2 linked regions of the Oryzias latipes genome follow. The protein of the gene in region 1 interacts with the protein of each later gene in a pairwise test. Links are inferred from orthologs where the notes say so. Each region holds a gene or a part of one and is shown in the gene's direction. Other genes may lie near its edges.

Region 1 (3,831 bases):
TATAGCAAGCATATCCTTTAATGAAATATTTTTTTCCAAAAAGGAGGCTGCAATATTCCTTCTTTTTATGCCCTTTCGTATACACCTGTAGTGTAATACGTAATTACACCTGATTTAAAAATGTTTTAAGAGTGCCTGCTACAGCTTTACTTGTGTCGCAATATGACTCTTGTAATGTTTCTAACTGGAGCTGCACCATATGAGGAAAACCTGCGATCCATGAACAAATAGCAAAACAAAAAACAACTAAAACATCGTTTCCATTTCACTGCAGCAGTTTCATTTAAATAAAAGTCAACATACCTTAAATTATACTCTTGACATCTACATAGGAGGCAGACATCTAACATGAAAGCTCTCCATTCGATTGGTCAATGACCTAAAGGGGTCCATACAATTGGTCAAATGCGTAAAAGGCTTTATTTGATTAAATACTTTATACATTGAAGGTAATTTATTGCAGTTTGCGCCATCTTTTGTGATACACATATCACACAAGCTTATATCACGACAACAATAAGTTTGTGATTTTCTTATTTTTATTATACAGGCTTATTTCTTACCAACATTAGCAATGCTCTTTTGATGACGCATCTCATGTCATTTGCAGAGGCACACGACAGATTTCTTAAGCTTTGTTAGCCTTTTCATTTTTTTGTGATCTGTGAATCCCCTTTAGATACAACTGTCTTTGACACATACCTTTGCACATAACTGAGCTGGGGAGAAGAGTGCAGCGCTCCAACTCTAGATGACGAAATGAAAGTAGATTCTTGACTGGTGCTGGAAGGGAATTCAACCCTTGTGTGTTGCCAAAGCAGTTCGGGGAATTTTTATTAATGCACACAGGCTTCCTGGGCTGAACACCTCCAAAGATCACAGCCAATCAGGGTAGGTGTGATGCTTTTGGATAATGAGGCTTACTTGCCAGAAGCTAATAAAATGCATCGGCATAGCTTACGGTTATCTTGTTGGTATTAAGATGATATAAACAATACCCCATTTTCAGTGTATGCAAGTGTTGGACTTAATTAAGTTGAGTTTCATCTGAAAGAAAGGAACTGGACGCCAAATCCTTGTTGTCCGTCAACCACAGGTCCACTGAGGCTTTTCTATAAACACGGTTGGATTGTGAAGTAATTGAGAAATCTGATGAGAGAAGACTGAGTGGATGACAGAGAGAACAAATTATTATTTTTCAAACAATGGCTCGCAGAAAACAAAGTCAGCATGAGTGTTTTTAAACAATAACTCGCATCTTTAGGAATTTTGACGTGGTAACGGTCCTATAATTTCCCAGCATGCCCATATAGCTCTGCAATAAAACCTTCAAATGTGGCACTTAATCTGTAGATAATTCATATCACTAGTCAGTCATTTATTTTTCCATTACTTGGGGGAGGAGGGAGGCTCTGTGATTCCATTTTGGATCTGTCTTATCCTTTTGAGGTTTTGATGGATAATTGTGGCTTCTTTAGGCTTGCTTCAATTATCTTAGTGCTTAATTTTAAACCGTCTTGGATCTCACTGGGGGTGTGAAGAAGCACTGTATTTAAGCCTGATTTTTTAGATAAAACACAATAGTCCTTCCCCCCTAATAATGGGGAGATTATAAAACTTTGAACTTTAGTTTCCAGTCTTAAAATTGCTATAATTCATAAAGTGTATGTAATTAACATGACTGAATGCCTTAGGTCTGTGCACTGTTTTACAGAACCCAAGAAGTTTCATGCTGAGACATATTCTCCTGGTTTAGTGGGGGTTATTTAACTTGCTTGGAGTATTATAGAAAGTTTTTGCTAAATAGAGTTAATCCAGGAAATGAAAAGTTGTGCTGACACAAATTCTGACAAAAATCCGAAATGGTCTTAAAGGCTTTGTAAGAACAAGCTAGAGGAGAGGTGAAAGAGCTTGTTGCACATTTTTAAGGGTTCTTGCAGAATCATCTGCACCCGCACTGCTGCAGATCCCACAGTGGCTCTTTTAGTCATGAATCTGTCTTGTTGCTGCCAATGTTTGAATGAAAGTTAAGTACAATGTAAGCCTTCTGCTAATGTTCCTGTCTCTGTTTGTCCTAGAAGCTCTACAGCGACCCGAGTTTGGTCTAGGAGATGCAGCCCGTTGGAACTCCAAAGAGAATCTGTTGGCAGGTCCCAGTGTGAATGACCCCAACCTGTTTGTTGCACTCTATGATTTCGTTGCCAGTGGAGATAACACACTAAGCATTACGAAAGGTAAGGAAAAACGCTTTCAGTTTAGTGTCTTTTGGCTTTGCCAACATTTAAAAGCAAAAAAAAAAAAAAAAAGTAGAAAGAAGTTTGGGAGATATGAATATGGGGATAACAGACAAGTAGGTTTATCATTCAGATAGGAAATGCTGTCCATTTCCCAGTTTTTAGATAGAACAGCTCTTCTAGGAAGACGTGACTCACACTAGATTGAATAGGATTCTTTTTCTGCTTCTTTGTTCTGGAAGTGAAATGGAGATAACACATGTCTGTAAAGTTGTCACTGCTAATGGGAATCTCCTTATTTGCATCCTCTGTGCTCCCCCTTCTGTCCTCAGTCCCATCAGACTCTCACTTCCTGACCATGCTCTCACACATGGGGCTTTTCCCACTGAGCACACTGTTGAACAATACTGCAGATGGATGACACAGACAAATGAAGGAAGGAGGGAACCTAGACTCCGGAATAAACAGGAATATGTCTGGAAAAACAAGACTTTCCATAGAAATGTAATACACCTCCGGGTTTTTTTGGGGGTTCATCTGTTGCGCCTTATGGTTTAACAGTTTTTATTTCACAAAAATGAAATGACCTTTAGTGGTTTTATCATTGAGATCTTTTCAATCCAAACTAGTCAGTTAGAGATTAACTTCATGGGTTTGGGTCAACAACATAACGTGGAATATAAGCCCTTGAATTCCAGATGAAAGTTTTATTAAAACGCCTGTTCTCAACCCCAGAGAACATGGACTATAATTGCACTCTGTTGCTCTCTCGGTTAGGAGAGAAGTTGCGTGTGCTGGGTTACAACCACAATGGCGAGTGGTGCGAGGCACAGACCAAGAACGGCCAAGGTTGGGTCCCATCCAACTACATCACCCCAGTTAACAGCCTGGAGAAGCACAGCTGGTATCATGGACCCGTGTCGCGCAACGCTGCCGAGTACCTCCTCAGCTCAGGCATCAACGGAAGCTTCCTGGTGCGAGAGAGCGAAAGCAGTCCCGGACAGAGGTCCATTTCTCTACGTTATGAGGGGAGAGTCTACCATTACAGGATTAACACTGCATCTGACGGCAAGGTAAAGACTGTATTTTGTTCCTGCGATGATGAGCCATCAAACTAATGTTCATCTTGTGTATCCTTTTCTCTTTTTGCATAAGGGCACTTTTATGATGAAAATGATTAATAGTTTCAAATTGTTCTTTCTCAGATCTGCCAAATAATAGTTCAAAAGCTAGAGGAGAAGCTTTGATTTTATTCGAAATCTGGAAATGGGGGGGGGGGGGTCTGTATCTGAGACAGAAATATTAGAAATCAGTCAAAACCTTTGTGAGAGAAATTTAGGTGAATTTAAAGCTTTGTTAAAGGTTTGTTCCGTCAATTTTTTAAATCTTCAGTGCGGATTGGATGTACCAAAAAGACTTCAAACAAGACCCGACTATTACTAAAACAGGTGAAAACAAAAGACTTGAGAGGGTTTTGGATAAAGGGTGAAATATTTAGTGTTGCCTCCGTTGCCCACCTCCCCATGATGCAGTGAGGTGAGCTCCAGCTTTGACAAGAATGCCACTGGGCTTCTTGTGAAGAGCTGCAGACCCAAAC
Region 2 (2,543 bases), on another chromosome or scaffold:
GGCGCCACTCTGTGCTCCTGCCAGAGAAAAGGAGGATGGCGGGACTGTCCGACTTCCTGACGGACGTTGCTCGAAGAGAACTTGAACATCTGGATCCTCGCGTTCCATCGTGTTGTGTCATTTACATCCCTTTGGTCAGATCACTACCTTTCTAGAAAAAAAAAAACACTTTTTTGTTTTCAGGCATTGGAATTATAATTCTGATTGTGAAAGCTGTTTTTTTTCTGGATCAGAGTATATTTATCGTTACAGATTGGATTTCTGCTCTCTTTGCCACGGCTGCCAAGCATGGTGGAGAAGGAGGACTTTGAGATGGAGGGTCTTGAATTTATGGTGCGTTTGTAGTCCTGGGGTTTGTATTTTGTGTTCTTTTCTTTGAAAACCAGAGAATATTGATCTAAAGTCTCATCTGTTAGTTTCTGTCGGAGGATCGATTGCACTACCGCAGCCAGAGAACCAGGGAGCTCGACGAGCTTCTTGGAGACATGCACTGTGACATCAGAGGTAGTTTTATTTTTTATTTTTACAGTAATGACAAATCAGCGTAGCTCTTTGCACATATTTATGATGTTTTGTTTGTTTGGGTCTCAAAGATATGGAAACCGCAGTGATGACCCAGTTGCAGAATGCAATCCTAGAGAGGAGTCCTTCTCTTTATCAGGTGGGTTGATGGCTCTCTGTGTGGTCATGTTAAGTTGTGATTCATGACAAACAGACATGATCTTGACCCAGATTCTATTTCACCTTTTGACAATTTCCATGATTGCAGATGTTATGTAAAAGGGAAGTGTGAGTGAAGGTCAGCTGGTGGATACTACTGTACAAACCTGTTTTTGTATTTGACACACCAATTGAATTCTTTAAGATGTTTCCATTTGTGTAGAGGAATAAAGGGTTCACACATTACCTTCATTTTTCTTTTCAATGTTATTACAGCAAAAGCAGCAATATTTTCATTTTTTATTTGCTTCACATGTATTTCCCTTCATTTTACCGTAAATTACATATTCAGCTGTGATTTCCATCTTTGATCTGATCCGAATGAGGGTTTTTAAGTAGGCAAGCAGTTGGGTTATGCATTTTTAACCACAGTGGTGCCTCAGGTAATGCAGGAATTTACTGTATGTACACAATGTGCAGGTTCTGGATCTTATTGCTGAGCTGGACTGCCTGATGGCTATGAGCAGTGCCTCCCAGGAGTACAGTTACACTTCCCCCAAGCTGGCCAGCCACAAAAAAATAACAATCACACAGGGCAGGTACGGCTAGGCACACAAACATTGGGTATAAATAATTAAGATGCAGTGAAACTTCCCCATAATCCTAACCTTTATTTTTCTCTTTTTCTGTCTGCAGACATCCACTGCTGGAGCTCTGCTCTCCTGTCTTTGTGGCAAATTCCTTCCAGAGCTTTGATAAAGAGGGAAGAGTTAAGATCATCACCGGTCCCAATTCTTCAGGCAAAAGTATCTACCTTAAGCAGGTGGGACACCATCCTTTTTTTTACTGTATGATACTGTGTATATGCCATAACCAGCTTCCTAAAAACTGATCTATGCTGACATTTTGGGTGGTCCTGGATCTTTTTTTGTCTTCTGCATGTCTTCTGTGCATAATCAGCCTTTATAGTGTGTTTTCAATTGATTCACTATTTGCTCCATTGAGTTAAATCTTATTTTAAATGTTCAATAGCTGCAGGGTTGTTGGTTAGCGACGCATGTTGTTTTTGCTTTTGTAAGGTGGGTCTGATCGTTTTCATGGCTCTGATCGGCTCGGATGTACCGGCGAAGGAAGCAGAAATCGGTTTGGTGGACGGCATCTACACGCGCATGCAGAGCAGAGAGTCTGTGTCTGTGGGCCTCAGCACCTTCATGATCGACCTCAACCAGGTTCCTCACAGACGTCGCCTCGCCTTTTTACTCAAACGTGTCATTTGTGTTTGCTGCACAGAAAGAAATACAAACAGCTTCCATCTCTGTTCCCACTCTCCAACTGTTAAGAGGTTCTATGAAGTGCTGGTTGTTCTTCTCACTGCCGTCGTGCAAACAATAAAAGAACAAAGTGGTGAACCACAGTCTGTCTCTCCTCTCCAGATGGCCCAGGCTCTGAACAGCAGTACTGGCAACTCATTATTACTCATTGATGAATTTGGAAAAGGGACGAACTCGGTAAGAAGAAACATTTCAAGTTGTCATGGGATTTAGACGCCTGTTTATGAGCCTTACAAAGAGACAAAATGCCCTTTATTTGAAACAAACACTCAGATCAACCAGAAATTAGTCAACCAATGAAAGAAAAAGCAATACCAGCTGTTGACTCCTGCAGATACGCAGATGTGTCTTTTCTTAACGCTGCAGTGAGTAGAGCCATATCTGAATTCCCTCACTACTCCCTAAACACCTAAAAGACTACAGTGCGTAGTATATAGTATTGTCTAATGCCCTGGATGTTGATGCAATTCGGATGCTCTCTACTTTTTTTTTTTCAAGCCAGATTTGATGTCTCCAATTGGTCAAAGTAAAACCTAAAAAAATGAACATTTC

The links.
Region 2: the proteins of abl1 (region 1) and msh5 interact in binary tests that used the Homo sapiens proteins (3 or more experiments, as listed by UniProt). The link is inferred for Oryzias latipes from reciprocal best matches to the Homo sapiens genes ABL1 and MSH5.

What each region holds. Positions count from the first base shown.
Region 1 is NC_019870.2:12,807,017-12,810,847, reverse strand, and holds part of abl1 (tyrosine-protein kinase ABL1), read left to right. Parts: intron 1-2,078; coding exon 2,079-2,234; intron 2,235-3,011; coding exon 3,012-3,307; intron 3,308-3,831. UniProt on the Homo sapiens protein: Non-receptor tyrosine-protein kinase that plays a role in many key processes linked to cell growth and survival such as cytoskeleton remodeling in response to extracellular stimuli, cell motility and adhesion, receptor endocytosis, autophagy, DNA damage response and apoptosis.
Region 2 is NC_019874.2:17,863,354-17,865,896, reverse strand, and holds part of msh5 (mutS protein homolog 5), read left to right. Parts: intron 1-24; coding exon 25-134; intron 135-252; coding exon 253-333; intron 334-416; coding exon 417-504; intron 505-593; coding exon 594-661; intron 662-1,140; coding exon 1,141-1,259; intron 1,260-1,356; coding exon 1,357-1,483; intron 1,484-1,739; coding exon 1,740-1,889; intron 1,890-2,093; coding exon 2,094-2,168; intron 2,169-2,543.